4 linked regions of the Struthio camelus genome follow. The protein of the gene in region 4 interacts with the protein of the main gene of each other region in a pairwise test. Links are inferred from orthologs where the notes say so. Each region holds a gene or a part of one and is shown on either strand. Other genes may lie near its edges. The genes, in order: STX11, RHEBL1, DAO and PRKAB2.

What was found.
Region 1: the proteins of PRKAB2 (region 4) and STX11 interact in binary tests that used the Homo sapiens proteins (3 or more experiments, as listed by UniProt). The link is inferred for Struthio camelus from reciprocal best matches to the Homo sapiens genes PRKAB2 and STX11.
Region 2: the proteins of PRKAB2 (region 4) and RHEBL1 interact in binary tests that used the Homo sapiens proteins (3 or more experiments, as listed by UniProt). The link is inferred for Struthio camelus from reciprocal best matches to the Homo sapiens genes PRKAB2 and RHEBL1.
Region 3: the proteins of PRKAB2 (region 4) and DAO interact in binary tests that used the Homo sapiens proteins (3 or more experiments, as listed by UniProt). The link is inferred for Struthio camelus from reciprocal best matches to the Homo sapiens genes PRKAB2 and DAO.

The regions. Positions count from the first base shown.
Region 1 is NC_090944.1:84,731,380-84,739,129, forward strand, and holds the start of STX11 (syntaxin-11), read right to left. Parts: upstream 3,004-7,750; 5' UTR 2,854-3,003; intron 1-2,853. UniProt on the Homo sapiens protein: SNARE that acts to regulate protein transport between late endosomes and the trans-Golgi network.
Region 2 is NC_090969.1:932,981-940,582, reverse strand, and holds the start of RHEBL1 (GTPase RhebL1), read right to left. Parts: upstream 3,007-7,602; 5' UTR 2,862-3,006; coding exon 2,810-2,861; intron 1,871-2,809; coding exon 1,799-1,870; intron 1,341-1,798; coding exon 1,273-1,340; intron 1,167-1,272; coding exon 1,084-1,166; intron 937-1,083; coding exon 880-936; intron 796-879; coding exon 748-795; intron 635-747; coding exon 550-634; intron 475-549; coding exon 385-474; 3' UTR 1-384. Other genes in the region: DHH (desert hedgehog protein), read right to left, coding at 4,275-4,942, 5,781-6,042.
Region 3 is NC_090958.1:18,966,303-18,973,746, reverse strand, and holds the start of DAO (D-amino-acid oxidase), read right to left. Parts: upstream 3,013-7,444; 5' UTR 2,863-3,012; intron 1,840-2,862; coding exon of another isoform or gene 1,774-1,839; exon of another isoform or gene 1,657-1,773; intron 1,324-1,656; exon of another isoform or gene 1,137-1,323; intron 1,104-1,136; exon of another isoform or gene 1,039-1,103; 5' UTR 976-1,038; intron 602-975; exon of another isoform or gene 397-601; 5' UTR 278-396; exon of another isoform or gene 1-277. Other genes in the region: SSH1 (protein phosphatase Slingshot homolog 1), read left to right, coding at 1,774-1,839, 7,035-7,075. UniProt on the Homo sapiens protein: Catalyzes the oxidative deamination of D-amino acids with broad substrate specificity. Required to catabolize D-amino acids synthesized endogenously, of gastrointestinal bacterial origin or obtained from the diet, and to use these as nutrients.
Region 4 is NC_090949.1:9,238,420-9,246,373, reverse strand, and holds the start of PRKAB2 (5'-AMP-activated protein kinase subunit beta-2), read right to left. Parts: upstream 3,005-7,954; 5' UTR 2,913-3,004; intron 2,696-2,912; exon of another isoform or gene 2,469-2,695; intron 2,433-2,468; exon of another isoform or gene 1,649-2,432; intron 497-1,648; exon of another isoform or gene 346-496; 5' UTR 328-345; coding exon 166-327; intron 1-165. Other genes in the region: flavin-containing monooxygenase 5, read right to left, coding at 3,669-4,026, 4,304-4,376, 4,482-4,834, 4,956-5,155, 5,828-5,970, 6,499-6,661, 6,747-6,935. UniProt on the Homo sapiens protein: Non-catalytic subunit of AMP-activated protein kinase (AMPK), an energy sensor protein kinase that plays a key role in regulating cellular energy metabolism.

The sequences.
Region 1 (7,750 bases), on a different chromosome or scaffold from region 4:
TTTGTCATCTCAGCACTACAGAGATGACCAAAGAGTCAAAGAAAGCAAATGGACCAGATAAAAGATAATAGAGGGGCTATCTGGTCAAGCACTTTCATATTTGACACACCAGTTATCTTCGAACTATCATGACTGTTTTTGAATATGCCAATATTATGATGATTTTCTGTCAAACTAGGAGGTTATCCATATTTTTTATTAGCAACTTGGAGGATGAAACCAAGCATAAACCTGTACAGTCTGCACACTGAACTGGAAAGGGAAATAAACAAGCATTTGGTGACAGAGAGGAGAAATAATTAGAATTCAGATGATCTTGGCAAGCGTGAAAAGCGATTACAAAAATAAAAGGAAATTCAGTAGAGAGACAAACCTGGGATGGCCTATTTAGAAGATATTATTTGCACAGATAGGAAATAGGGAATACCTAGTTTGGTAGCAGGAAAGCATCAGTGGGGCTACGGCAGATTGCAAGCTAAAAAATAAGTTCACGATACCATGCTGCTTAAAAAAAAAAAAAAATCACATCTGGGCTGATGTGCCTTATATAACCGATAGCAAGGAAAGTACTGATTCTGCACTGCTTGGCATAGGCAAGGCCTCAACTGGAAGACTACATCCAGCACCAAACTAGGAACATTGCAAAATAACTAGAAACTGTCTACAAATGACTTTATGTAGACAACCAGGGAGAGAGACACAGTACTCCAGTATGTTAAAGAGGTTTACCAAAAGAGAAATGATCAGTTTTTTCCCTGGATCCCTGTTCCCATCAGAAACACACGAAGCAATCAATTTGATTCACATATGACATTTAGCAGGAAACACTTTCTTACTGGGAGAGGAGCTGAAAATTGGACCAGTTCTCCATGGGAACATTGTGGAACTCTCTTCCTTAGAGAATGAAGACAGGCTAAAAAAATCTCTTTCAGGTCTGGTTTACATGCACTGCTACAATGCACCAGAATGGATTAAGTAATGTCTTAAAATCTCTTTGTGACCCTATGTTTGCATGATTTTCTGCTTTAACGCTAAACTCCCTCTTAGTCCCTGTCTCATTGCACGTCTAGCATAGTGTAAGTGCGTGCCTATGCTAGGGAAGAATTCTGGTAATTTATTTTACCCAGTATCCTACTCTTTACCCTACTCCCTACTATTTTTGTACCAATGGCAACTAGCATTCCTCCTTTTAGAGCAGGTCTTAGTTATTGTTATATTATCATTGCATTTTGTCTCACAAAACGTTCCCTCTCACTTTCCAAAAACAGCATAGTGCAAAACAGAAAACGATTTCAAAAAATTTTAAAATGCCTTAGATATGGAGCCTAACCCCACAACATCAGAAATCTCCATGGCTATGTGATATAATATGCAACTCATTATGTTTATTTGCAGTGCCCAGAAGTCAATGTTATCGCACTATCCCTCTTGTAACATGTCACGAGATCTTCAGAAAATGCTTGTTTTCGTGATAAGGCTGTCTTACGACAACAGAGGTTAACTTACAGTTTTAGTCTCAGCCAAAAAGCAGATGTATGTGCCATATGACTTAACATGCAATTTCAGTTTCAGAGTAGTGGTGATTCCATGTAGTTAGTGAAAAAAACAGAGGTGAGAAAATGGTGTTCACACGTTGGGGTGTGGGGCATCTCAGCCTCCCTTTTTTTAGGTGTCTAACTTCAGTCTGTTCTTCTGAATGAAGAAAAATTGTAGTCGTCTATACCACTTCCATATAAAACTATTTAAATAGCAAGTAACACTATTATTAGGAAAACAGTATCCCTTAAATTGTACTCTCACCTTAAAGAGCTACATATTCCCATTTGAATCCCTTTTTAAAAGCTTCACAATAGTTCAAAAAATACTATCTAAAAACAGGAACAAGAACTTTGAATGTCCATTTTAGGCCAATGCTGTTATTCTAGTCATTTCCTTTCCTGGTACCACACAGTTGCTTGCATGCAGTTATCTCAGGCATACACGAGTACTTCGCAGGAAAGAAAATTAGTATCAATTACTAGGAAACAATCAAAGAATGCTAACTTCTGCAGTCACTCGCAGATCTGGCCATTCTGATGCAGAAGAAAGGCGTAAAAGCTATTATATTTTGCGTATAAAACCAACTATCTATAAAGTCTGCTCTGCAGCTATTCGTAATGACATATGAGAACTATGAATAAGTTTGACTTTTGAGTCAGACAATCAAGGCAGCTGGAAATTCAGACAAGCGTTCAGCCGGCATGAAGAGACCCTCAGGGGCTCGGCATTACAAACGCCTTTGGTTTTTGCTCGTCCTGCTACACCATGAAAAACCAACAGCAATCCCTTTTTCTCCTTAGGAGAGACTACAGCTGTAACACGGTAGCTAAAGCTGCGGGGCTTCAGACAGCAACCGCGCTCCCCTGCAACTTCCCCTCCGCGACGGCCGGGCGACCGTGCTGAAATGGGGCAGTTTCGCTTACTCTTACGCAAAACCGTATTGCAAAGCGCTCCGAAAACCACGTTTCCTCCTCGCTTACTGGCTAGACTAGGCGCAAGTGACGGCAGGAGCTGCGGCTCCCTCCCCGACAGAAAGGGATGGGACTGACCGCCGCCGCCGCGGCGTCCGGGCCCCGGCACGGCCCTCAGTCACCCTCTGCCCCGACGGGGCGGGCCGGGCCGGCCAGGGGCGCCGGCCGATGTTGAGCGGGGCTCGGGGGTGCGAAAAGGGCTCCGGTGCTGGGATCCGGCAGCATCTCCCCGCTGCTGACGGAGGCGCGCCCGTCGGGTGAAGGAGCTCAGCCGCAACCCGCTCCCCGCCCCCGAAGAAGGCGCCGTCTCCCCCGCAACCCCTGTTGCCCAGCAGGTACTCACCGCCCAGGCAGGACGGGACGGCTCGGCTCGGCTCGGCTCGGCTCGGCTCGGCTCGGCTCGGCCCGCGGTGCTCCCAAAGGTGCCGGTGCCGCCGGAGAGCCCGCGCCGTCAGGGCAGCGCTAATCTCCGCGGGGCGCCCCGCCTCCGCCGCTCGCCTCGCCCGCCCATTGGCTGCGAGGGCGGGGCGATTTGCATAGCGGCCGGTTCGGCCCGCCCCGCGGGCTGTCCATCAGGGCCGTCGAGTCGAGGGGCGGGCGGCCGCGGAGCGGCGCTAACCCCTGCCTCCTCCTCCTCCTCCTCCTCGCGAGGGGGTGGGGGGAGCCCGCCCCGTCGGTGCTGGGAAGCGTGGGTGGGCCTGCCTAGCCCTTGTGGCCAACCCTCACACGGAGCGAGCCTGCCCTTTCCTGCCCCCACGGACAAGCGGTGGCTCCCCGGGATGAGGAGGAGCCAGTGCCGACGGGGCGTCCTGGGGCCTGTGGGGCAAACTGGGCGGCGCAGCTGCCTCCCAGACCCTCCAGCCGCCACAGCCCTGGGCGCTTCTCAAGCCCGGACTATGTGGCAGGGAGCTGCTCGGTAACCCATGCACTGTGGTCACCGTCATAACGTGGGGCACGGCACAGGTCCGCACACACTCACTCCGGCTAATAAGTGGGTTCCTGTCGCAGCGTTTAGCCTCAGGTGGAGCCCTGCCCTGACGCGCGCTGCCCGCATGTAACCTGCTTGGCTTTTCTCCCGTCTGGACGGGCAGCCCTAACGCCGTCTTCCAGGCGGTGCTGCTTGCTCTGTCAGGCCTTAGCCTGCGCGGCTCACCATGCTCTGCGCCACCCCGGCGCACCGGCCGCCTCCACGCTCACCCTCACCTGCGAGGACAGTCTGCCAGAATCGCCCCCATGGCTGTCCTGGCACGGCAAGGCCTGTCGGGTCCCGCTGGCTTCAGTGTGTGCGTGCTGAAATACGATGTCAAAGGAGCATCTGGGAACGTACATCAAACAAATTACTTCTCTGTTCAGTGTGTGAAAAAGAAGATGTGCTCTTTGCACAATCCTTCAAAGAGTAGGGGTCAAATTTAGCCCATTTTGGGGTGGTGATTTGATCTCTGATAACTCCGGCCCTTCCTGAAAGACATTTTCCCCAATATTAGTACAAAAACTCTCGTGAAGCCACAAAGCTATTAAAACTAGCTAAAGAGGTTGTTTAAATCTTTCTGTGAAATGAAGCTTTTCCTTTCTTTAAGACCCATTTTTTTATGTGTATTTTTTTTCTCCCATTCACCACAAAAGTTAGAGATAATTTCAATCTGGAAAATTTAAAATAAAGAAGTTAGGTTTTTATTGGTGCCAAAGAGTAACTGAAAGAGCATCTGTGCTTTCCAGGACCATTCTCATTTATAAATAACAGGGCTCCAAAATTTCTTTTTAATAGCATCAATCCAATCCTGGGCATGACAAGAGAAAAGGTATTGATGATGGAGACTGTTGCAAAGAGGTACAAAACTTCCTCCCTCCTTATTTTCTATTGTTGCTCTTGTTTCAGGAAAAAAACTTTGGGAAGATTTGAGGTTTTATGGTTGATGATCAGTTAAAAAATATATTTGACACAGTGACTCTTTCTTCCTGAAAAAAAGGGAAAAAACCCAAAGCCATAGCTCAAGTTGTGCGTTTCTCCATTTGTAAAATAGTCACTCATTTTTTACCTGTAATCCATAGGCACTTTTTTTTTTTTAATATACATTTCCAACCCCTTCCTCTGGCAAGGGAATCCTCTTCTCTGCAAGCATGAAGAATTTCTCTGTTTATAACTTTGCCAAAAAGTACCAAGTGTGCCTTCTGTTGTTTCTTTGCATGTTTTGGGGCAGATTTCAGCAGAGCAGTCCAGGCATTTCTGGGAATACAGCTGGGAAAAAGTACATTCTTCACCTACCAAAAACAAAACAAAACTGTGGTGCCCTTCCAGATAGTTCTAACTACTATTCACTTTGGAATGGGGCAAACTGCAAGACTTGGAGAGCGCCCTTTAAGCCACACCATTCCTACAAAAATCTAAGCAAATTAGAAGGCTTTGAATTAATACAACAATCTTTGCTTATCAGCGGATGTTCATTTTTACAGCTCAAAATGGCTATATTCTTATGCAGCTAAGCTGATTCTGAGTCTTACCCTTTTGGTATTTCATATATATATATGTATGTATGTATGTATTCTTTGCATTTGGAGTCTTTGCTGGAATTTTTCTCTTCGTCCTTGATTCTGGAACTGAAGTTAGTGGGTTCCATCAGTCCTCTAAAACTACTGGAAGGCATTGAAGCATTTTTGGTTTTTTCTCTTCTTTTCCAAGGTGCTGCTCTGTAAGATTGACTACAGCATTCCAAACTTCCAGGCAGATAGCTTTCTCCTTGCCACTGGACTGCAGAAAACAAATGGGACCTCAGCGTTGTTAACGCAATCAGAGCTGAAAATAGAACTGCATGTTAATGCAACTTCATGGGTAATCAAAGATATATTCTACTTTGTATGACGCAGAACAACAATTGCAAATTAACCTGCTGCTGTTCCAGCAAAAGCAGTTGTCAGTGTATTAGTTGATGTGCCCAATGATCCATTCAAGAACAAAATGCTTGTCTCGGAACATCTGGTATCTGCTATATAGTTTGTGAAGAGGGTATGGAAGACCAAATAAATGAGCAGCGAGCCTCCTCTTCTATGGGAGAAACTTTTTGTTACTTCCTCAACAGCTGAGTAGGTGCAAGGTAGCACTACTGTTAAATCATTAACCATGCAAGAAAGATGTGAAGAGTGAGAGGACTTTATTTCTATAAATTCTGTCACTTACAGTTACCAAAATTAAAGAAGGTTGAAAAATTTCAGAGATAGCTAACTAATTAAGAAACCTGAATAGCTAGCTAAAAAAGTTCACCATTGACAAACAAAGAATCTGAAGTGCTTGAACACATGTTGCTAGATCCTACAAAGGCTGGCTATTTGCAGTGTTACGAGAAAAAAAAAAGCAGCTAAGTCATATAACAAAGACTGTCATGTCATCCTACACATGAAAGACACTTGCCTCTTTTAAGCTAGAATCTAGCATGCATCATATCAATGAAATTACCATTTCATAGTCCTGGACAAATAGCTTTATACTAATACCAACTTTTTACTTTTTAACCTCATGAGCCTTTAAATGTTCCTGAAATTGAATGATTTATTAATTGCCAAGATTAGTGGAGGGATACAATAAGAGACTCGTGCTATGAAATTCTTTCATTTATTAGTTTGCCAGGGAAAGTGAGTCTTCAGCTACAAAACTTCCATATTTCCACCTTGAGTAAGGACCAGCAAGCACTCCTACACTGAGTCTTTCACATTTTCTTTTAGCCTCTGGCAAAATCTACTGACATGACTGAACAACCTCCTCACTAAACTTTGATGATGTAAAAAAATCCTAGTTGGTTGTATGAGGAACGGACTATTGAAAAGAATTCAGAAGCCAAATATTTCTGCAGCTAGCTCAATCCAGCTTAATTCTTTGTCGAAGCCTGTGGAGTTATTTGGATTTACAAGTGATAACAGAAAGCAATATTCAGCCCTACAGATGTTTTTATTTTCACTTGCCTCTTTTCTCTCAATCATTAGGAATGAAGAAAGTTGTCAGAAAAGAATGCACTGCTGAAAGCTATACAGAGATAAATGCTCCAGTGTTAGAGAATGTCCCCACCTTAGGGCCTTTTCTCTTGCTTACTTAGGAAAGAATTTATCCTTTTCCAATTATGCCTGAAAGGCATGTGAAGCCAGCCCCAGGTTTAATGCCTCTGAATTCCTTGTGAACAACTTGGCACTCATGCATGGCTTTGAAGGTTCATTACACATACTTGAGTTCTTAAAGAGCTGCAAATATAGTTAAGATTGTATTAAAGGTCAGATTGGATGGAAAGACAATAGCCCTGGGTCTTGTGTTGATGCAGATGATGATGGCAGCTGCCAGCATGTTTTATTAACCTAGTAACTGATAAATGAACAAATTCAAAATATTTTCACATAATAGACCTAAATAAGTATAGTTCAGCTGAAGCCAATGAAGCAATACTGATTTCCATGAGCTGAAGGCCTGGCTCATTATGAAATAAGCCACTGAATGGCTATGCTGTTGTCATAACCTTTGAATGCACGAGTACCGCCCATATATACAATATGACAGAGATTCTATCATCTGGATTATTTCTGTTTGTTTGTTTGTTTTCTAGTCACATGAGCTGGCCTAATGAGAGGTATTACCGAATCCTATTTCTAAACTATAATAAAGACATTTAATCTAAAACCTCTATCAGGTAAGAATGAGGCATCTATTCTGTACATTTGCGTGCCTTTAGATTAACACCAGTTAGTCTCTGAAATATAGAGGATGCAACACTTTGTAACTTCACAGCGCAGAGACAAAGAAATCTTTGTAACAGTCAAGATGGAACAAAAAGCCTGGACATGAAGACACATACCAGGAGTTCAGATTTGGGTATAGTTTTAGTAACTAGCAGAGTCTAGAGGCAAGTTTGTATTACGAAAAATTCCATGCCTCTTTCTTCCCTCAACAACACTCTAAGCAGGAAAGAGCCAGGCTGTATATCAGGACTGAAGGGAGAAGTTGCAAGGGGTTAAGAGCATGGATGGCCTGCTAAGAGTGCTGTAGAGAATAGCCACACCTTTACAGAAATAGCCATCAGAAAATTAGAATGTTTCCATGGATTCTTGGAGCATCCTTTTCAAACAATCAGTCTTTCAGAGAAACAATTATATTCTAAAAACAAGTTTCAATGAAACAGAACAATTCTATACTAGAATTGTGTAAGTGTATGTTTTACAGAGCCATGTCGACGGATCATCTTATTCATGCTGACAGTACTTTTCCA
Region 2 (7,602 bases), on a different chromosome or scaffold from region 4:
ATTCAGCTCCTGCTCCGCGGCGGCGGCTCCGGGAGGACGACGGCAGGAGGCGGCGGCCGGAGGAAGCGAGCAGGCGGCCGAGGCTCGGAAAAGCCCCGCTCCCGCGGCGCGGGGGCAGCGGAGCCGGGGAGCAGCTCCGTGTCCGTGTGCATGGGGCCGGATGGCGGCTAGCGGCAGCGAGGAGCCCCCGGGCCGGGCCAGGCCCAGCACCCTCCACGGCCCCGTGACCACCACCGGCCCCCGACGCCTGTGCAAAGCGGCCCGCCGCGGGCGGCCACACGTGAGGTGCGGCATCGGGGGGCACCCGTACGGCAGCGGGACCCGGCGGCCCTGCCGCCCCCACCGGAAGGTCCCACAGCAGGGGGGGTCCGCCCCGGGCAGGGCTCACATCAGGCGGCAGTTGTGCTCTTTGCCGTAGGAGTTGTCCACGCGGTCGATCTCCTCAATGATCTTTGTGAAGATGCCCTGGGTCACCTGGGGACGAGGAGACGTGAGCCCCCGGCCCCGAGCCGGCGCGGCTGCCCACCCCACGCGCTGCCCTGCCCCGACCTGGCTCTCCTTGGCCGAGGACTCGAGGAAGATGGCCCCCCACGACTCCGCCAGCTTCTTGCCTTCGTCCGTCTTCACCTCTCGGCTGGAGAAACGGCAGAGGAGGGGAACGGGCAAGAGGGGCCGGGTGGTCGCCAAGCCTGGGGGGCGGCAGCAGCCAGCCCCGGGGAGGGCGAGGGGCCCCAGCACCCTTCTTACCTCTGCAGGGACAGGTCCGCCTTGTTGCCGACCAGCACCACGGGCATGCTGCAGGCGAGGGCAGAGCGTGAGGGCTCCCGGCACCGCCGGCCCGGGCTGGCGCCGGCCGGCGCCGGAGGGGACAGCACTTACCGTGTCTTCCCCCTGCTCTCGTACAGCTTGTTGTGAAGAGTCTTCACCACCTGGAAGCTGCAGGGAGAAGAGGGGCTCCCAGCGCTGCCCAGCAGCACCCAGGCAGCCCCCGGGGCGGCCCAGGCCCACGGGAAGGGACGGCAGGACGAGGGGCAGCTCGGGAGGGCTGGGGCCGCTGTCCCCAGCCCCGCCGCCGGCGCTCACCTCCGCAGCGATGTCACCGAGTACACCAGCACGTAGCCGTGGATGCCGATGATGAAGGAGTGGGGCAGGATGGTGTATTCGTCCTGGAGGAGGGTGGGCGGGTGGGCTTGATGCCGGAGCAGCCCCTCGCCTCCCCGGGGGGCTACGCGCCGGCCCCCGCCCCAGCACCCCGCCGCTCCCGGGTGTTACCTGCCCAGCCGTGTCCACCAGCTGCAGGTGGAACTCGTCCTTGCCCACCATCACCATCTTGCTGTAGGCTGCGGAGATGGTACTGGGTTAGCGGGGCTGCCCACGGCCGCCTGGGGACTGGTGTCCTTCTGCATGCTCCAGGGCTGGCCTGGACCAGCCTCCTGCTGTGCTTAGCCCCCTCCTTGCCAGGGCGGGATGGGCCCCTCCTGCCCCAGCCAGGGCCCCCGTCTCACAGCCACCAGCTTTGGGACAGACAGGTGCAGCCCAGCTTCCCCCAGCCCAGGGGGTACCCGAGCCCTTCCCAGCACCCTATAAAGGGCAGCAAGCTCATGCCAGGGTCGAGCCATCTGCAGACCCCGGCCGGGTCCCTGTAAGGTCTCAGGACAGCCCATGGTCCCCCCAGAGCTGATCCTGCCCAGATCCCTCCCGCTCCCACACGCGCCAGAGCAGGGACATATCTGTGCTCATCACACGTCTGCGGGAAAGGACGACCCCAGGCAGGGCGGCCCCCCAGCCTGGGACTCACTGCTTTCCACCGTGGGGTCGTAGCAGTCCACAAACTTCCCCTCCACGAACTGGTGAGCCAGGGAGGTTTTGCCTGGGGAGGAGAGTGCGAAAGCCCCAAGCTGAGTGGGGAAGCTGGGCTACAGCCCCTCCCCAGGCAGGGGGTCCCAGGCACCCCCCAGCCACAGGCAGGGAAGAAGCATGGCCAAGGGAAGTGAGCCATCTCCCCATCATGTCCCCACATTCACTGCCTCCTCCCCAGCCCAGGGACTCCCCTGGCAGGGGGGGGTGATGGGGGACTCCTGGGGTGGGTGCCCAGGCTGAGCACAGCCCCCACCCCCAGCAGGTCAGGGCAGCCCCCGCTGCCAGGGGCAGGAAATCCGGTGTGCACCAAGCTCTTGGCAGCAGGAGCCACCCCAGGCATCCCCAGCCTCCATGGAGGGGCCCAGCACAGCCCCTGCACCGCAGCCCCTGCACCTCCCCAGCCCCTCAGCAGTCACCCAGTGCACAGCCCCACACAGGGGGCCTGGCCATACCCCCAAAAGCCTCATTGCACAGCATCTTCCCACCCAGGCACACCCCACCAGGATCCCCCTTGCACACCCTGCCACAGACCCCCCCCTTGCACAGCCCCTCTCCCCTTGCACACCCTGCCACGGACCCCCCCCCTTGCACAGCCCCTCTCCCCTTGCACACCCTGCCACGGACCCCCCCCCCTTGCACAGCCCCTCTCCCCTTGCACACCCTGCCACGGACCCCCCCCCTTGCACAGCCCCTCTCCCCTTGCACACCCTGCCACGGACCCCCCCCTTGCACAGCCCCTCTCCCCTTACACACCCTGCCACGGACCCCCCCCCCTTGCACAGCCCCTCTCCCCCTGCACACCCTGCCACGGACCCCCCCCCCCTTGCACAGCCCGTTGCAAGGCGCCTCCCAGCGCACGCCCGGCCGTACTCCCCGCCGCCCTCCTTGCAGCCCCGTTGCGCGGGCGCCCCGCCGGTGCACAGCCATGCCGTGGCACGGCGGGACTCACCCACGGCCCGGTAGCCCAGGATAACCACTTTCCGGTAGCGCACCAGCGGCATGGCCCACGCCGCGCGGGGCGGAGGCGGGCGGCAGGCGGGCGGGGCGGCGCGGGCGGGCCCAGCAAGCGGCGCTATAAAACCGCCCGCCGCGGCGGGAGTGCAAGGGGGGGCGGCCCCCGCCGCCACAACACCGGCCGCCCCACGTGACCACAACACCGCCCGCCCGCCGCTCCCATTGGCTACCCCGCGGCGACGGGGGCGGGGCGAGAGGGCGGCGCAGGCGCGCTGGCGGCCGCGGTTCCATTCATGAAAACGGAGGGAACGGCCCGGGCCACGTGGGTGCCACACACCTGCGCCGGCCACGTGGGGGAGCGCCCGGCCCCAGCCCGGCCCCGGGGACCCCCCCGGAGACCCTCCCCGGGGACCCCCAGCCCCAGGACCCCCAGCCCGGCCTCCTTCAGCCCCTGCTGCCCTACAGACTTCCCCACCCTGGCCCTGCCCCTCCGGGGCTCCTCCAGCCTCTGCCCCCCGGGACCCCCGTGCCCAGGTGCCCCGGCCAGGCCACCCCCCCCATTGCCAGTCACCTTCCGACAAGGGCCATAGATTCTCTTTATTTACCAAAACAATTAAATAGTATTATTTTTTTAAACAGAAATGGTTAAAAGCACATTTGCCGCCTGCCCTGACGGAGCTGGCCCCGCTGTCCAGGCAGGTCGGCGTGGAGGACATTTATATTACCATTTATAAATAGAAAAATAAAACTCTCAAGCAGGGCAGGTTAGCGGTTAGCGCGGGTTAGAGCTGGGCCCGGTGCGGGGCAGCCCATGGCTGCCGCAGGCGCCCCGTCCGCCCGCGGGGCGGAGGGGGTCCCCTCCCCGCCTGCCCTGCGGCACCGAGCCACGCGGGGACGGGGCTGGGACACCCCGGCTCACGGCGGTGCAGGCCCAGAGCTGGGGGACGGCCAAAACGCCGCCAGGAGCTGGGGCACTGGCTGCTTCCACAACCCCGGGGCTGGATGTGGCCCCAGGGCAGGTCCCCCAGCGCCCAGCTTCAGCTCACCAGGCAGCAAAGCTGTCCCCAGCCACAGTGGTTAATAAAGCAATAAATACAGGGGGGCGCGGGGGCCTAGGTCGAGGGTGCAGAGCCGTTCCGGGGTTTTCCAGCCAGGCGCCCGGGCAGTGCTGCGGGGCGGCCCCCAGGATCCGGGCAGGGGGCTGAGCCCCAGGTCCCAGGGCTGCCCACGATACCCCGTTCCCAGCCACCCCGGGCAACGCTCGTCTTGGCAATGCTTCGTGTGACAGCAGGGCCCAGCAGGCACCCCGGCCTCCTCGGGGCCCGGGGATGTCCCTGTTCCCCCTCCCCAGCGCGCCCAGTCCGAGGCGGGGGCCGGGGACCGGCTGCACCCTCGCTGCCTCCCGCTTCCAGTGTGGCACATTAAATATCTGCAGTGTGGCGACTTTGGGGGCCGGGGGCCTAGGCCTGGAGGGCTTCGTGGCCCAGCACACCCCAGGCCAGGCGGTAGAGGAGGCGCGAGTACCAGTGCATGCCCGCCTCGGGCGCCGTGCCGTTGCCCGCCTCGGCGCGGGCCGGCAGCAGCGAGAGGAGCCCGTGGAAGAGGCGCAGCGGGGCGAAGGCCCGGTGCGCCCAGCGGTGGCTCTCCAGCACGGCGTAGCAGGATGCCAGCACCCCGTTGACCAGCAGCGTCCCGTGGGAGGTGAGCGGGGCGAAGACGCCCACGCCATCCTCCCGCGAGACCCGCAGCACCCGCGCGGGCCGCAGCCCCTGCCCGCCGGCCCCGTGGGCCAGCACGGCGTCGCCCGGGCGCACCCGGCTGGCGAAGACGGGCAGGAAGGCGGCCGTGCCGTTGGCGGTGCCCCGGGCCGCGAACACCAGGTGGGACGGGGTGAGGAGCAGCCGGCGGGCCGGGCTGGCCGTCTCGATGGCCACGAAGGACGTGCGCTGGCTCAGGTCGCGGTCGAGGAAGAGCAGCACCTCGGTGGGCACCAGGCGCCCGCCCGGCTCTGCGCCCAGCACCCAGTCGCCCCGGCGCAGGTCGGAGAGGCCCCTGCGCTCGCCGCTCCGCAGTGTCACCGTGGCATGGCCTGGGAAGCAGCCGCCGGTTCGGATGGCCAAGGAGTTATCTGGGCGGAGGGAGAAACCCATGGGTCCCCAGCACCCCTGGGGGGGGCTAGGAAAGCCTGGGAGCCCTTGTCACCCGGCGTCCCTGGGGCCATCCCTGAGGGCCGGGCCCAGCGCGCCCTCCGCCAGCTGCTACCTGGCGGGGACAGCAGCTGCCCACGGAGGGGGAACAGCCCCGAGCGGAGCCCTTTGGACCGGACCTTAGCGCACCGCCAAGACAAAGCCGGTATTTGTCACCCCCCCGCAGTTCCTGCCTGCCCGCTGCGAAGCCCGGGGAGACGGCGGGGCTGCAGAGCCCCTTTGTGCTGCCCGCACTGACGCCCTTTGTTCCGCGCTGGCCCCGCGCCGCCCGGGCCGCTGGCATTTAGGGCCACTTTCACTTTCTGTTTATTGTCAGCCCTGCGCTGGACTGAACTGCACGGGGGCTGCGGCACGGGCAGTCCGGCGGGGCTGTAATTTAAAAATACTTATTCTGCTCCGTGCTGGAAAGGGAGATGAGCTTCCAGATGAGCTTCCAGGGCGCTTAGGGCTGCACAGGATTGCGGGGGGGGGGGCTATGGTTTTTGCCTGTCTGGTGGCCTGCAGAGAGCTGAGCTGCAGCCAAGCAGGGTCTGCGCGGCTGGGTCTGGGCACGGGCTAGCGGCAGCCCCTGCCGCAACCTGGCTGCGGCGTAAGTGGATCCAGGACAGGCAGTGAAACTGAGGCTGGCGGGGTAGAGGGGCCTGTCTGGGGCACCTGCCCCTCGCACAGGCTCGCGCTCCAGCCCTGTGGGAAGGGGCACGTGTCCCCCCCCCAGCCCGTGGGCAGCCCTGGGGCCCTGCCCTCCCCGCTGCGCTGTACCTGCTTTCACAGAGACGTGGACGTGCGCCTTGGACTCGTAGTAGACCCAGTCGAAGCCGGCCTCCACGGCCAGGCGTGCCAGCATGCCGTACTTGTCCCGGTCCCGGTCCGACGTGGTGATGTCCAGCGCCCGGCCCTCGTAGTGCAGGGAGTCGGGGAGGTGGTGCCCGTCCTCATCCCAGCCCTCCGTCACCCGCAGCTTCACCCCCGGCCACATGTTCATCACGGCGATGGCCAGGGAGTTCACCCGCTCCTTGCAGCGCTGGGGGCGGTGGGGAGCAGTGCCGGCGTCAGCCCAGCCCCGCCGCTGCGCGGGACCCCGACACCCAGCGCCTTCTGCCCTAGCCGCCCGGGACCCCTCTCCCAGGGAGATGTTACAGGTGCAGACGGACAGACGGACACCCAGGACCTGCATGGGGCTTGCAAGGAGCTGGTCCCAAGTGGCTCCAAGGGGGGTCCCGAGGTGGTGCCCTCTCCCCAGGGGCCCCTAGAGTGGGTGCAGGGCTCAGGGAGCTGGGTCTGCTCCAGGCCCCAAAGCAGAGCCCGCCTGGGCGGGGATTAAACATTAACGTGGCCCGGGGTGCCCGTCGCAGGTGTCGCTCCCCTCCAGGGCAGCCGGGCGGAAAGGGCACGGGACGGTGCCCGGGTAGCTCCTTCCCCACGGCTGTGGCTGTGATTAATTAACCCGCTGCTCCCAGCGGGGAGGCCCATGGGACAGGGCTGGGGGGAGCGTCCGACCCTGAACTAGACCCGTCTCCTGGCACTGGGATAGGACAGGGCAGGATGGTGCTGCCGGGACCCCTTCGCACACAGCAAAGGGAGCAGGGTCTGAAGGGAGGGGGCGTCGGGGGATGCAGGGCTCCTGGGCTGTGCGCCCAGATAGGAGGTGGAAGGCGGGGGGTCCCGGGCGGCTCCAGGACGCCTGGGGCCCTCTCCGCCTCAGCTGCGGCTGGGCTGGCACGGGCTGCAGGGCGCCGGGGTGCAGCTGCCTGGTCCCCCCCATCTCTGCCTCGGCGGCTGGCGGCCCGGTGCCCCCGGCCCCGGTGCAGGGGGGCTGCGGCGGGGCGGGCGCGGGGGCGGGCGCGGGGCGGCCCGGCCCGGCCGGGCCCGGGGGGGCAGGAATGCGGCGGCCCGGCCCGGCCCGGCCCCGACAATAGGCGCCTTCGAGCCCGGCGCTGACCTCAGGCCCCGGGAATGCCGCGCCCGGCCACAAAGGGCCCTTTGAGCCGCCCGCAGCTCCGGGCCGGCCCCGCGCCCGCGCCCGCCGCTGCCGGGCCGGCGGAGCCGCCCGGGGCCGCTCGCAGCATCCCCCGGCGCCATGGCGACCGCGGGGCCACGCGGGACAGCCGCGGGGCCGAGCGCGACCCCCCCCCCCCGCCCCGCTCCCCGCCGGGGGCACCGGCTCCGCCGCGCCCGGGCCGGCCCGGAGCCGCCCGCTGCCGGCGGAGCCGCCGAGGGACCCCGGGCGTCCGGCTCCCGGCTCGGGCAGTGCCTCAGTTTCCCCGCTTGGGGCAGACAGGCGGCTCCGCCGGGGGAGGCAGGTGCCCCGGCGCCGGCACAGAGGCGCCGTTCCCCCCGGTCGGACCCCTCCTGCGCCCGCCGCGCCCGGGAATCCCTGACGGCGGGTCCTTAATGTCTAACTCGGCGCGACCGCCCCGTCCGGGGGTCCCGATCCTGCCGCCGCGCCAAGGGCCGCGGGAGGAGACGGGCCAAGGGGCGGGGAAGGCACCGTGCGCCCCCGGGGGGGACCGTGCCCCCCTCGCCAAAGGGTCTGTCCGCACCGGGAGGGGCAGTGCGTCCTGGTGAGGGTCGGTGCATCCCC
Region 3 (7,444 bases), on a different chromosome or scaffold from region 4:
TTCTACAAATGACCTTCTTCATGCAGCTTGTTTACAGCCCAAAAAGTCATTGCCAGTCCAAGGTTTAATTGCCTCAGGCAGAGGGATCACGATCCGCCCCCGGCACTGGGCAACAGGATCAAAGTCTTTGCCAAGGGAGGTCCCGCTGAGGAGGTGGAGCGCCCGCGCCGGCCAGCCCCGGTGCCCGCAGCGCGGCTGGAAACCTGCCTGGAGCCGCTGCTCCAAAAGGGAAAGGGGGTGGCCGCAGTCCCCTGCAAGGGGCCGTGGCGGCACTTGCCTCCATGGGTACTTCACTGCTGGGATGGAGGAGATGGGGCCTGGCGAGGGGCCGCGCGGCCGGGGCTCCTTCTCCCTGGATGCAGGAGAAGTCGTGATGCTTTGGGCTCGGTTTTCGTGCTGCAAGAGAGCAATAGCCCTTGCGTCCTCTAGACAGACACCCCGGAGCCGTGCCATCCTGCTGCCCGCTCTGAAGGGTTCAAGGGCTTCATTTCTCATTTTTACGCTCGTTTTTCTCCCTTCCTGAACGCCAGCGTTTTGCGTTCTGGGCTGACGAGGCAGGTTTCTTTCTGCGCGGATACAATTCCTGCCCGAGGAGGCAGCCCTGGAAGCACAGGCAGTGCTTGGACCGAGCTGCTGCAATTAGGGATTTTGCTGAGGGCTGCAGGAACTGCCTGAAGCTTTTGTTAAAAGTGGCAATGAGGGTAAAAAAAAAAAAAAAAAACGGGGACTAATCTACATAGTGAAGTTTAAAACACGTATTTGGACTCCCTGGCCCAGGATTTCCATCTGGGGAGAGAGGTGTTTTGTTGCAGCGTTGGTGGCGGTTTTACCGGGAAGGAGCGCGCGCGGCTGGGGATGCTGCACCCAAACGCTGCGGCGCATTGACCCCCGCCAGGGAGGACGCGGCCGCGGAAGGAGCTGGGCAGACGCGAGCCGCGGGCGCCCGGCGAGGGGAGGTGAAGTCTGCAGGCTCACCTGGGTGAAGCCTCGTCCGGCCCTGGGCTCCGCCGTGTCGCCACCCAACTCCCTATTTCCCTGCTGTTGCAGAGACAGAGGAGGGGGAAAAAGCAGTTGTTTTGAGCCCTGAATTATTAAGGGCTTTACATACAATCAGCAAAGCCTATTATACTAATTACCCTATTATTCGCCCGCCTCTTGCTTTTGGCACCGCTGACCCCCTCACACTTTCTTTGGGCCGGGTGCGATGCCCGTTCCCTGCTACGGCGCTGCAAAGCCGAGGTGCTCGGGGTGCACCCGCGCGTCCCGCGAGCGTGGGGCGACCTGAGCTGGGCCCCAGCGGCGCCAGCCCGAACCCCCGCCGCGCCCTCGGGCCGGCTCCGAGCGCGGGGGCCCAGCCGGGCCGTGGGGAACCGTGCGAGGGGCCGCGACCCGCCGTGGCCGCTCTTTCGCCCGGACGACGCGCCCGTTTTGCGCGCCGACGAAGGCGGCTTCGGGCCGCCGGGTCCGCCCCGCTCCGTGGAGGAGACCCCCGCGGAGGGGAAACCCCTCCAACGCCCCCGCAGCGGCCAGGCCTGTGCTACGCGCGTGGCCGTGGGGCGGCCGCCTCGCGTGGGGCCGCGGCCGAGGAGGCCTGAGGCGGCGGCGGCGGCGGGGCCGCCCCCTTCTCCCCTCCCCTCCGGCCGGGCGGCCGCCGCAGCCCCTCCCCGGCGTGCGGGCCGGGCGGCGGCGGGCGCCGAGGCTGCGCAGCCGGCGCCGCGCATGGAGGCGGCCGGCGCCGCGCTGTAACCGCCGCCGCCGCCACCCGCCGCCGCCATGGCGCTGGTCACGCTGCAGCGCTCGCCGACCCCCAGCGCCGCCTCCTCGGCCAGCACCAGCGAGGTGAGCCCGGCGCCGCCGGCCCCGCAGGCCCCGGGCGGCGGTGGAGCCCGACCCGAGCCCGCCGGGCCCGTTCGCAGCGCCCTCACCCCCCTCTCCCAGCCCCGCGGGCCGCCCCATGGCCTCCCGCCGCCCTCCCGAGCCCGGCCTCAGCTCTGCTCTGGCCCCGCTGCCCCTTCGCCTGGCAGCCCCCTGCTCCTGCCTCTGCCCCCCCCCGGCCCCCCTCCTCGGCCGGCCCCCCCCCCCGTCCGTTCCCGTCCCCCCGTCCTGTCCCCCCCCGTCCCCCCTCCTCAGCGCCCCCCCGTCCGTCTCGGCCCCCCCCCCCGTCCTGTCCCCCCCCGGCCCCCCTCCTCGGCCCCCCCCCGTCCGTCTCGGCCCCCCCCCCGTCCTGTCCCCCCCCGTCCCCCCTCCTCGGCCCCCCCCCGTCCTGTCCCCCCCCGTCCCCCCTCCTCGGCCCCCCCCCGTCCTGTCCCCCCCCGTCCCCCCTCCTCAGCCCCCCCGTCCTGTCCCCCCCCGTCCTGTCCCCCCCCGTCCCCCCTCCTCGGCCCCCCCCGTCCTGTCCCCCCCCCGGCCCCCCGTCCTGTCCTCCCCCCCGTCCCCCTCCTCGCCCCCCCCCGTCCGTCTCGGCCCCCCCCGTCCTGTCCCCCCTCCTCGGCCCCCCCCCGCCGTCCCGGCCCCCCCGTCCTGTCCCCCCCCATCCTGTCCCCCCCCCGTCCTGTCCCCCCCGTCCCCCCTCCTCGGCCCCCCCCACCGTCCCGGCCCCCCCCCGTGCCCCTCCTCGGCCCCCCCCCCTTGGCTCCCCCCATCCCGTCCCGTCCCCTAGACAGTTGTCCCCAGCTCTGGTTGCTGCTCGCCAGCAACTTGGGCTTGCTAAAACCCAGGGCAGCCTGCTGCGCTCTGTTTTCGGTCAGCTACATCTCCGTCCCCCCCCCCAACCAAGCAGCAGGTTTTCGCCCAGCGGTCCGCGCTGCTTGGCCCCTCGTCTCCTCCCTGCCCGACGCCTGCGCTGCTGCTGCCGCTCTTCACCTCGCGCTGTCTTCGGCGGTGCTCGGCCCGGCTGGCCGCGTCGCCCTGCGTTACGCCTCTGCTGCTGCGCAGCCCCTGCTGCGGTAATGCCTCCTCTTTCCACAGGCGCTGCAGCGTGCCCTCGCTCCTGCGGCGAGGGGAGCCCGGCCTGCCCCTGCCTGCCGCCCCCCCCCCCGGGACGGTCCCCCCGGCTCGGTCGCGCTCCACCCCGTACCTGGGATGCTGCCGCCCCTCCGGCACGTGCCGCGTAACCCGCCGCACCTGTAACGCTCCTCTGCGCCTCCCTGGCCCTGACCCGTTGTGTTTTTTCATGTTGCGGTGGAAACCCTTTGTACCCCCGCTCTGCTGTCCTTCTCTTCTGGCTTATTCCCCCGCAGCTCGTTCTCCTGCTTCTGCCTCGCTAAGCCCTTTCCCTGCCTTAGGCTTCGCGGCCCAGGTTAGCACTCTTCCCTCATCGCGTTTCCCATATGCCGTCCAAACGCTGCAGCCCCCTTTGATAATTTTCCTTCTTCCTTGTGCATCCCTTTCTTTCCACGTAGCCTGACTTTCTTCTGTGATTCCCCCAAAGGCAGGCCCAGCGTTTTTCTCCCTGTCCTTCCTGTGCATCCCTCTCTCCCCTGTCCTTCCTCCGGTGCTCACTGCCCTTGGCTTTGCTCTGCATCCATTCTCCATCAGGTAAACAATCCTATTTGTCACCTGTCAGGTCCCTGTGACTCCCCCGATTAGCTCATCTGAGGATGGGGGAGGCAAGCGCTGCCAGGGTCAGAGGCTCTCCCTCGCCGAGAGGTGCCCGTGGTTTGCTTTATGCGCTTCGTGTCGTAGGCAGTGACTCATCCCTTCCTTTCTCTAATTTTTCTCCTGTAGATCCATGCTACGTAGTTGGGGTTTCTGAGGCTGCAGGGAGAGAGTATTGGAAACGTGTTGTGTTCATTGAGAAACTTGGAGACGTTACGAGAGAGATTTGTGCTTTTCCAGTTCTTTTAAGGAATTGCATTGGGTTCTGTTCTAGACAGCTCTTACAGGTTAAACTATTGAAGGGGACAAGATCTACTGGTCATCTGACCTACACAAATGTAAATGAGCTGTAACCCTATTGCAGTCAGTGGAATTAGGCTGGATTTAGACTGGTGCAGGTGGAAAAGTAATCAAAGTTGTATGTCCCTACCTTTTCATATACACCTGCATTCGGTGCTGCTTGTATAGGAGCACTGTGCTATTTACTTATTTTATTAGGGTGACCTTAGAGGTCTCCCTTGCTCTGTAGAAAACCTTGCCCTGAGCATCACGTCTGATGTTCTGCGCGGCAAGGCGCTTCCTGCCCGCACGCGTCTGCGGGCCAGGTATACCTCGGAGGCACCCAGAGCAAGGCATCAGCTCTCGTTCTGTTTGAATCGTTCTTTCTGGCATAAAATTCCATAAAACTATAAACAGTCCTTTTGAAAATTAAACATGTTGTTTTTCTTCCTATAAAGTTTATTTAAAAGAAAAATCCCATCAAGAAATGTCAGTGTTTTCCCTGATGTTTTATGATCTTTATTGCAAGAATGGCTTTACAGGCCCTTCAGGGTGTGAGCCTGTGTGAAAAATTGTTAGAAGATTTTTAAAACAGAAAGTGAAGACCAAATATCCTTCCTAACTGTAAGTTTTTTGCAGCCTGTCTTAACTCATAAACCTGAAAGAGTTTATAAATGGATGCTGCTGTCCTCAAGAGACTTGCAGTCGTGCCAGTGTAGCATGCCAAAAATTCTCAGGGGTGTTTTATCTGAGGAGAGAGTAGTTAATGCACTTTTGCAAACTTGCATGCACTCAATTAGCTCAGCTGCCGTCTCACTTCCACACCCGCTACATCTCCGTGCCAGGTCCTCGTCCCCGCTGCTCCGGCTCGGCCGTCAGCTTCGCCCAGGGCAGGCGCGGGGCCTGGGGTGAAGCCATCTGCAGCGCCGCGGCCTCCGGAGACCTGGCTGATGCCCGTGCCGACAGGGCGTGCTGCAGCGGGGCTGCTTGCTGCAGCTCCAGAGCAGACCAACGTTATGTTATAATGTAAAACCTGGCAGCTCGGAGGGATGTTCTGACCTAAAAGCTGAACCTCGTTGCTGAGGTTTCTGCAGTCTGTAACGCTGAGTGCTCCTGCCTTGTTTTGGTTTTTACTGCAGCCTTTTAAATTAAAATAAAGGGGCAGTCAAGTTGAAACCAGGTCAGCTTCTGCGAAAGATGAGCCTGAAGCAGATTCGGAGACGGTCTCTGCTGTGGAATCTCTACTGACAATCTTCATGATTTCACGGTCACATTTGTTTAAAAAAGTTTTTTTCTCTCCCCTGTTGCTATGTGACAGACCCAAACAAACACAAGATCTGCTTCAGGAAGGCCACAGCCCTGCCAGGCCTTCCCAGGGCAGGGGTCTGCCCTTCGAGGAGACTGGGGATGCCTCGATGTCCTCGCGGCTCGGTCTGCCGCCCCGTCCGGGCGGGAGCATGGGGGCCTCCCTGGGGCTGCACTCAGCTGTGTTCAATGCACAATGTAAACAAACTAAAAATAGAGGCGGTATATTTTTCTCCAGATCTCCATCAGCTGCAGTCATTTTACACGGGTTTTGTATATATCTCTTCCTCCAAAGGGCTATATAGCATCCGGGCTGCACAGTTGCTTTTGTTTTCCTCTAGCATTATTTGTTCTTGTGCATTGTAAACAGTGCTGCTCTTGTGAGCTCTGACCTGCTGAGCCTTAGTTCGAGGGGCGTGTGGGACGTCCCAGTTCCTGCACCCGCATGCACACACTCAAAACTTTTAATTTTGAATGTTTTACATGAAAATATTTGCTTGTTCTTGCGTTTTACAAAATCACCTGGAGACAGGGAACCCTTATTGTAGCCCTATTTGATGTGGGTTTTAAGCTGTGCTGTTGTAAATAACAAAATGTGCTCTGAGCACTAGACCTGAGGGAACCTGATTTCTAACAAATTTGTGTCTCTCCAGGTTAAGTAGGCTCTGGTGTCCAGTATGTTGCAACTTAGAATGAAGGTTTTTCCTTGTTGCAGGCCCATCTATGAAGTCTCTGCTTTGTGGGCTCTCTGAGATCTAGCTGACCAGCCTCCCAGGACAACCTTTTGCTTTGAAGGGATACTGCCTGGACTTTTCTGTCTGGTTATCTCTGGAAGAAATGAGCCACTATATATACGTTTTGTCCAAAAGTTAATAGAGAAGTTGAAGAAGGTGGTTGGAAAGCAGAGCTACGTGAAAATGTTTCCCTGGAAAAGCAGGCTTAAGTCAGCTAGTATGCTCTGTTTTAAGGAAAGTAAATAATACTTAAGGCTCAGTAATGTCACCTGAAAAGCCAAGTTTGCTTCCAGGTGCAAAGTTTCCACTACTGTCTAGTGGAAAAGCTACTGTTTTAATAAATCCCTGCTGTTCAAAATAGCATATTTATCAGGAACGCTGCAGCTGTAGAACCTCCTGGTGGCTGAGCAGTCCCACCACATCTTCCCAGCCTCAGGACGTGTCTTCTGCCAGGGATCAGGAGCCCACTTTCCAGGCGGAGGTGGGCCTCATCGGCTAGCTGGCAGCTCAGGGATGGTGGAGGAGGCTCTGCTGACTTGCGAAGGCTCCCTTGGACCCAGTGAGCTGCAGATTAGTGCGGGGTTGCTCCCTTGAGGCTGGGCCAGGGGAAGGCCAGGAGTTAGCTGCTGGAGGCTGGGACAGAGACGGAGATAGGCAGTTTTGGCTGCTTCCACTGGAGGGCACTTGTGCTGTCACTGCACACCATGAATTGCAGTGTTAATTTATGCCCCACTCTTTGTTAATGGTATTTCACTTAGGACAGATTCTACTCGCACGTGTGCGCTCAGTAGGAGTGATACGTGCCTTCTTGGTAACATCTAGGTTTGCGACCTTTAAACTGATCTGCACGCTAGGACCAGCTTGCAGGATTAGGGCCATAGACTTTAAAATCCCTGTGAGCCCCTTTGTCACCCAGCACTGGGTGCTGATTGCTTATATGGCTGAGGAGTTTCATTTATCTCAGACACTGGGGAAAAAAATAAGCAGTCCAAAAACCAGCCACCCAAACCCCTTTATTGCAGTGATTGCACCAGTGATGGTGCATGAGGATCTTTTAAAGTTGTAACATGGCAACAAACAGCATGTAACTTGTTCTGTTTCCTTCTTTTCTCCCCTCAGCTGGAGGTTGGCAGTGATGAAGAACGTAAATTAAACGTGAGGTAAGCAGAGCCACTCGGCCCAAAACATTGTTTCCACTGTTTCTGGTTGTCTGCCGTGTAACGTCTGTCTTCTGATCTTTGGCCAGGACCTGAACAGAGCTTTGGCCGGGAGCAGGTATGGTTGCCTGGAGTGGGTTGCGTGGTCAGGCCTGCAACAAGCAGAGGTCTAGAAACTGGGGCTGGTCTTTCCCTTATCGGTTTAGTTTTGAGATGAGCATTTAATGAACTGAAAGCATACAAGAGGACTTGTTTTTTTTCCTGTCGGGCGCAAACTGGAAAATTGCTTATCAACTGTGGTCGCAAAACTGTTATCTCAACATCTCTGTCTTCTCCGCTGCTTTGAGATTGGAGATTTGGAGGGCTACACTG
Region 4 (7,954 bases):
AGCAGCTCTCACGTCAGCTGTTACTACCCCCTCAGACAAAACTGACTCCGCACAAATTGTCTCAGCTCAGCTAGAACCACCCCAGCAGAGCTACCCCAGGGGCGAGCTGAAGCACCAGCCAGGACCTCAAGCGGAAGGACCGGGAAGGCAGCGGCTAGCCCATACCTTGGAGTCATGAGAGCTGAAAACACTGGGGTCGTCGGTGCTGCCCACCATGATCTTGTGTGGATGTTCTTTGCTAGAGTGGGGAGCACCAGAGCCATCCGAGCGGTGGGACTTGGAGCCATGGCGCTCCCCAGACAGTCGCTCGCTGGTGGTGTTTCCCATGGCAGCTCAGCAGCAGCTCTGCGGGAGAGAGAAGATGACGATGTTCCTATGCCCACGGGCTCCTGCAGTGAGGCAGTGAAGGCAGTGTTTCCCAACATCCTTTGCCCGGGGAGACTGACAGCAATCCTAAAAAAGGCTCAAAGTTCATTCCCACTGCCAAGTTTGAGACCTGAAGGGGAATTTAACAAACAAGACAGCTTGAGCTAATTATAGCCATATCCTTATGAGCCGTTGCTCTAGTCAACCCGGTAATTGTTATACTCTAAAACAGACACAAATTGCACTGCATCCTACACAACCCTCACCAGCCAGCATAGCAGAGGGGCTGATGGGAAAAATAAAGCCAACCTTTATTGGCAAATCAATTGCTTGACATAAACAGAGCCTCTTTCATAGTCCCAACAGACTCTGCAGACAAAATCTCTATTTCCAGCAAGAAAACAGCCAAGGAGTGAGAGTAGCAGCTGTTTAACAGCCCTCAGCAACTCTCTAAGGGCTCGCGGGCAGACGAGCAGAGCCTTGTGCCTGGCAAAAGCAACAGGGAGCGTTTAAACAGTCTGAGTGGAATTGCCCAAGCTGGAGCTTGGCCAAGGCATAAGGCTAATGCCCTGGTGTCTGCAGAAAGCTCAGCTCTTGATGGCATTCACTTATCATTCACCAGGCAAGTGGCCACGTCAGCTCCGGCACAGCACAACAAGGGGCGTCTGCTTGCTACAGCCCTCGCCAGCGGCACTACCACGAGCGGTCAGACATCTGGCTGGCCATCCAGAGGCACATCATGAGTGAAAGGTAAGCCTGCTTGCCTCAGCACTGCTCTGCAGGTGGAGATCGGGCATCATCCCCAATTTCATCCAGTTCAGGGAATGCAAAGCAGGAGGAACTTGCCCTATGGCAACAAGCCACTAACAACTACACACCTCTCAGGGCAAACAAAGCCATCACAAGTTACATAGGTCTCTTCAGGCCTGCTCCAGGCCTTACCCAACTTGCAGCAGCGGAGGACTGTGGGCCTTGCCCCTTTCCCAGGTTTATTCTGTAGCTCACATGCTTTCAGTCATACTACGCTGATTGCCAGCTCTGTGGGCAAGGCAATAGGACGGCCAGCCTTACTTCATACACTTAGTTGTGACATTTGAGATTTGTTTAGAAGGTCAGGTTATACGTAGGGTGCCAGGCGAGGCTGCCAGCCAAAGCCAGGCTTCAGAACATTACTTGCAGAGCAATTACTAAAGTATTTCTTAAATCCTTAGGGCTAAAAGATAGCTCGAGAGGACAGCTAGCACATACCACAGCCCCCCCTCTGAGCTAAGATCAAGTGTACCTGAACAGCCCAGGACAGGAGAGGTGCTCCACTTGCTCTGACATCTTCCCCCTTTCGCCTAGAGGAGACTGAACCAGCTCCTCATAGAACCTGCCCCTGCTCAACTATATGTGGTATTATGAAATTTCTTGCCCGCTATCTCGGCCAAGACTCTCTTAACTTCTCATCTACTAGCAGCAAGGTAAGAAGGGCTGAACAAAACAGATCTGAGAGATAACATGCAGACTGTTTCAGATTTGAAAGCTCCCCCTTCTCTTTTCTAGAAGCAATCCAATCCCTCTGAGTCTCCCTCGGTGGCCACATTCTCTATATGTTCCCCAAGATTTCTCCCAGGTGGTTACTCCTTTCCAAAATGTGACATCCAAAGCTCAGTGCAGACAAGAAGCATCTCCTGCCTCCTGCACACAGCCACGCTGCTGCACTGGAACAGCAACATCCTTCTGCAGCAACTCGCTTGCGGCTTGTAAATTCCTGTGGCCAGTCCATTTCAGTGCTCTGCGAGCACAGCCTGCTGTACTTCGCTTTACTGAACTAACTTTTACCAACTGAATCCTCCAAAGCTCAGCCACCCCTTGTAGCACAGCATCCTCTGAGAGTTTGGCACAGGTATCTTCTAACGCATCATGCAAGTCACTAATGACAACACTAGCTTCGTCTGGCCCCTGCTTCCCCCCGCTTCCTCGTGGAAATGACAGGCGAGGTGCACAAAGCCCTCCTATACCCACCACACCTACTGCTTCTCCCTCTTCCTTTGGGCCAGCTACCCTGTCACAAAAAACACGCCCGAGCCATCCGAAGGGATTCGTTCAGCGGAGACCACCTTGCTGTTCGGCGACAGTTGCCCACAGCCTGCTCCGTCGACGCCTCTTGGCACTGAAGTAAGCCAAGAAAGTTTCATTTCACTGGATTCTCCTGCCCCCCCTTCTCTTAGCAAACGCAACAAGAGCTCAGTTGGCCTGATGATGATGATGCTGACAAGCCGGGAAATCAGGGAGAAGAGAGCGTCTCATCGGGGATCCGCGGAGCGCACCCAGCGGGGCCGAGGCCTCGGGCCCGGCCCAGGCGGCGCGGGGCAGAGCAGGGCACCCCGCGGCCCGGCCCGCAGCGGCCCCGCCACCGTCACCCGCGGGCCCCCGCGGCGCGGTAACGCCCGCCCAACCGTCCCCTCGGGGAGGCCCGGCCACCCGCCAGCCAAGCCCGCGCCACGGGCAACCAGCCGCCCCCGGCCCCAGCACGGACAGCGACGGCCTCGCCCCGGCCCCACCTGCCCGCCGCCGCCGCTGCCGCCGCCTCCTCCCCGCTCTCCGCCTCCGTCCAAAATGGCGACACCCCCCTCCCGCTCCCGCCTCCTCTCCCCCCTCCCCCCGCCGGCCGCCACCGCCAGCCTCCGCGAGACGTTCTGGCCCGCCCACGCGCTGCTCTCTATGGCCGCGCCCCGCCCGCCCGCTCTCCGCGCCTGCCCGGGCCCCCAGCGATAAGAGGGCGGCCGCCCCGAGAGCAGGCCCGGCGGCGGGAGTGGCCCAGCGGGGCTGGCAGGAACGGGCTTCCCCAGCCCCGCTTCTTTGCCGCCGGGCAGCCTCCATCTTTTTGGAGGGCGGCCTGGCTTCAAGCAGATGTCGGTGCGGCAGCGGGCGGGCGGCAGCCATTTTTGTTAGGGGCGGCCGGCCTGGTGCGCGGCCATCTTGGCTGAGGGCGAGTGGGCTTCAGCGGCGCTCGGAGCGGCCATGTCGGTTGAGGGCAGGGCCGGCCCGGGTGCGAGGCCCAGGGGTGGCGGGGCCTGCAGGGGACTGGCCCGGGCACGGGGCTGGAGACCGGGCGGGGGCGGCCCAGGAGGTCACACAGTGTGCTCAGCGATGCCCTCGGCCCGCGGGCGAGCTTTATTGCCCTCTTCCCGAGGGGCCACGATGGCGGCGGGAGGCGAGACAGCTTCTCTCTGGGAGGCGATTTCCTCCGTGCCGGCCGAAGCCCGGAGGGAGGGAGGACGAGCGCGGGCAGGACCCCGTCTCCTTGGGTCGGCGGGTCAAGGAGAGAGCGAGACGTAGACGAGCGTGGCCACGATCAGGCCGATGCTGAGGAGGACCTTGAAGGCGTGGGGCACCAAGGTGGTGCGGGGAGGAGCGGTGCCGTCTCGGGCTCGCAGGGCCTTGACGACGCGCTCCCGCTGGGTCAGGATGGCCTGCCGGGCGCCGGCCCACCTCCCCGGCCCCTGCAGGCGGTACTGGTACGGGGTGCAGGGGCCCAGCAGCACCTCCGTCGCCAGCCGGGGGTCGGTGAGGAAGAGGGTGAGCAGGTTGGGCTTGACACCCAGCTGGCAGGCGAGCTCGTCCATGTAGGGGATGTAATCCACCTGGATGGTGTGCCGCTGGCTCCGCACGTACCTGCGGGAGGAGGTGGACGGGCGCTAGGGCTGCAATTTTGGGGGCGTGCCGAGTGGGGAGCTTCAGGGCTGGTGGCAGGGTTGCTGGGGCTGAGGGTGGCGCAAAGTGAGCAGGGATGGAGGAGAAGGGGGACGGGGCAGCACATCCCTCTCAGCGGGTGCGGGAAGGCGGGAGGGACCGCGGGATGCAGGGAGGGCCGGGAGGGGACAGGACCCCGCAGGCTGCCTCACCGCCGGCGGCCGTGCAAGCCTGGCCCCGTTTCCCGGCGGGGTCTTACCGCTTGGCCATCTCTTCTTTCTTGTGGTTGATGTCAGCCTCCATGTCGCACCTCGGAGGCAGTTTGTTCAGCCCTAGAGGGGAAGAGCCCGAGCGGGTTCAGGTTTCAGGCCTGCGGGCCACAGGCTATAGCTGCGCGGGGGGGGGGGGGGGGGGGGGCGCTGTTTTGGCTCGCTTACCCTTGAAGACGCGGGTGGCCCAGCGGCACTGGAGCTCGGAGATGGGCATGATGGCGCCGAGGGGCTGGATGAGGCCGATGAAAGCCAGCGTTGGCTTCTGCAGGTCGATGGGGAACATGAATTTGTACAGGGAGATCTGGTTCTCCACCACCGTCACGCAGTCCTCGAGGAAGGGGAAGGAGAAGCTGTATCCTGTGGCGAAGACCACGGCATCGATGTCGTCTTCCTTGGTGCCGTCCTCGAAGATGGCGGCAGTTGCTGTGAACTCGCGGACGTTTGGCTTGACCTTCACCCTGCCCGAAATGATGCGGTTGGGCAGGTCATCGTTGATGGTCGGGTGCTGGTGGAGGATCCTGGAAGAGCACAGAGAAACCTTGCAAAGGGCATGGGGCAGGCATGCGGCAGCTTCTCTGGGCCATCGGGTGGTGCGTCCCAGTGCCTGGTGCAGGACCCGTGTGTCATCCCTGCGCTTACCGGTGCTGGGGCTGCAGGCCGTAGAGCGCGTGGTCGAACCGGGCATTTATCTTCCTCTCCAGGATGAAGCTCCCAACAGAGAGGGGAACGAGGCTCTGGAGGAGCTGGATGAAGCGGGTGAGGTAGGAGAAGTCGAAGGGGTAGCCGCTTTCGGCGAGGCGGTGCAGCACCCAGGCCCCGCGCCTGGTGCTGAGGAAGACCTGGGAGGGAGGAGAGGGGAGGTGGAGGTGCCAAGTGTGGCATGAGGGACAAGAGCTGTGTCCTGAGAGCCGTTTCCTTTGTGCACCCCCGTGGAGGCATGCGAATCCCCTGCGCAGCACCCGTGCAGCTGGGATCAGCTGGGAGGGGGTCAGGGTGCCGCTATGGTCCCAGTCAATGGGTGGTCCCCTAAATTATGCGCTGGCTCCAGGCTCTGTGCAGCAGCCAGAGGACAGGGCTGTGTTCTTGCTGTGCCCCTTGGACGTTGGGGTTGTTGACACAGCTGCTAGGGTGACAACGACCACCCTCTGCAAAGGGGGTGGGAGATGCTCTCAGAGGGATATGGCACAGCAGGGAGGGGAGCCTGCAGGCGATGGAGGAGGCTTGCCCCAATACCCTTTGGGATTAGGTTGCTCTCTATAAATAAACACAGCAGCGAGGGAGAATAGCCTTTTAAGCTGAAGTGCAGCATTGGCCTGAAATCAGACAGGCCTGCATGGGCCAGGAATAAATATAGTCTGGGAGCGAGATGAGGGAGAAGGAGCGTGCCTGGCCACTGGTCGGCTTTGGCAGCACAGGCACAGGGTGAAAGCCCAGCCTGGTTTTAAATGAGTCTCTCCTAGGAGATGGACAGCATCCCCGTGCGTTTGCAGCCAGCCATGCTGTGGGCACACCTGCTTTGCTGTGTGGCCCAGCTCCACAGCAATGTCGATGCCTGAATTCCCGGTGCCGACCACGATGACGCACTTCTCTGAGAAGGCCTGCGGGGTCTTGTACTCCCGGCTGTGCAGGTACCAGCCCTTGAACTTTTCTAGCCCTGGGAGGGAGAGCAGAGCAGAGCTGTGCCAGGGAGGGACCACGGGGCGAGGGGGTGGCTGTCCTCCGGCTCGGGCTGGTAATGTGTTTTGGGAATGAGCCAAGCCCACTGTGACCAGCAGGAGTGATGCAGCCCTGGGACAGCGCCCAGAGAGCTGGTGGCATCTCCACCCTGGGAGATGGTCAGTGGGACATGGCCCAGTTTGTGGAGCAGGGCTGGGACCGGAGACCCATTCCCTAAATCTTTTCACAATTCAGCAGTATCTGCCTGCAGAGCAGAGCAGTTTGATCAGATGTTGAAGGCACTGTGAGAGCCTCGTGGCAGATAGACCACTGAAATGGGTGGGATTGCAGCTTGTTGCAGTGGGGATTGATGCAGGAACCCACGAGGGGCGTTTTTGGCAGCAAGCACAGTGGGGTCAGGGCTAAGCCTAAAGAGACGAGTGCTTTGAGAGGCCTTGGGAAGCAGGTAAAGGGCCCACGGGGCCGTGAGACCCGCGGTGGGCCCAGGGGAGCCAGCGCAGCGTACCTGGGAAGGTGTGCAGCGGGAGGTGCGCGTTGGTGTGGTGCCCGGTGCACACCAGCACAGCGTCGAAGACGGCCGACTCCTGCTCCCCACCGCTCTCGGTGACCACGTCCCACTGGCCGGTGACGGCAAAGTCGGGGCGCTTTGCCACGCGGCACACGCTGGTCTGGGCGCAGGGGGCAAGGAGCGGGCGTCAGGTTGCGCCCAGCCTGCCCAGGGCACCCTGCACCCCCCGGCCCCGCGGCGCTCACCCTGAAGCGGATGTATCGGAGCAGGTCGAAGTGCTGGGCGTACATGCGGAAGTACTCCATGATCTTGGAGTTGTGCATGTAGTTGGGGAAGTCGTCGGGGATGGGGAAGTCGCTGAAGCACATCATCTCCTTGGAGGTGTTGATGATGACGGACTTGTAGATGCTGGCGCGGCCCTCATCGGGGTGCTCCTGCGGGATGGGTGGGCACGCTCAGCACCTGCTGGGACTCCCAGGGGCAAGGGACGGGGCTGCGGGGTGCTCCCTGCAGGCGCTTATCTGGCTCAGCGTATCTCTGCCTGTACCTCGCCGTGCCTGCGGGGTCTATCAGGCCCTACCTGGGAGCTGGAATAAGCTGCAGCTGTTGGGAGCTGTGACAGCAGTTGAACCAAGACAGCCCAGGAAGAGATGGAGGGGACTGGGACTAGGACAGCCTGGGTCTGGAGTGGGGACTGGAACTGGAACTGGAACAGCCTGGGAAGGGGCGGATGGGAAGGCCGAGCCAGGACAGTGAACGTTGGCCTAAGGGCTGGCCCAAGCAGTGAGTCTGTGAGGAAGGTCCTATCCCGCTGCTGCTGTAAAGGAGACCATTCCCATGTGGTCAGCACATGAGGTTGTACTGAGGGAACATCCTGCTGCCAGAGCAGTTCTTCTTTTCCATGGTGTGCCTTGGAAGCAGCAGGTGGGACCAGCCACCCCGCAAAATGGGAGAGGAAGCTCTGAACTGGTATGAGGAAATGCAGCAATGGCAAGCAAGGTGTGCTCTGCAGCATGGTGGGCAGTTCCGTGCCTCGACTTCCCCGCTCCCACCGGTGCCCTGCTTCCGTGTTTCCTTCAGGCTTTGCTATGGGGCTTGGTGGTGTCCTGGAGCGGTGGGGGTGCTCGGACCTTGATGAGGTGGCATGCTCCTTGGGCGTCCGCCATACCATCGCCCTTGCCCCAGCAGGGTTTTCAGGCTGCTGAACCAACTCTGGTGTTTCCGGCTCAGCTGCCATTCCTGCTCTCAGGATGATTTCTGCCTGACCTACCTGCCAGCTCAGCTTCTTGCTCCCCTGCGCTCCACCGTTGCTGTTTCAAAGCCACTAGGGACAAAATCAGTGTAATTTCAGCCAAACAACGCCAAATCCCTTTACTGGCATGGTGCAACATCCCGCCCAAGGTATCTGGGCACATCAGCAGGACCTGTCTTTTGAGGGCTGTGGGAGGTGGTT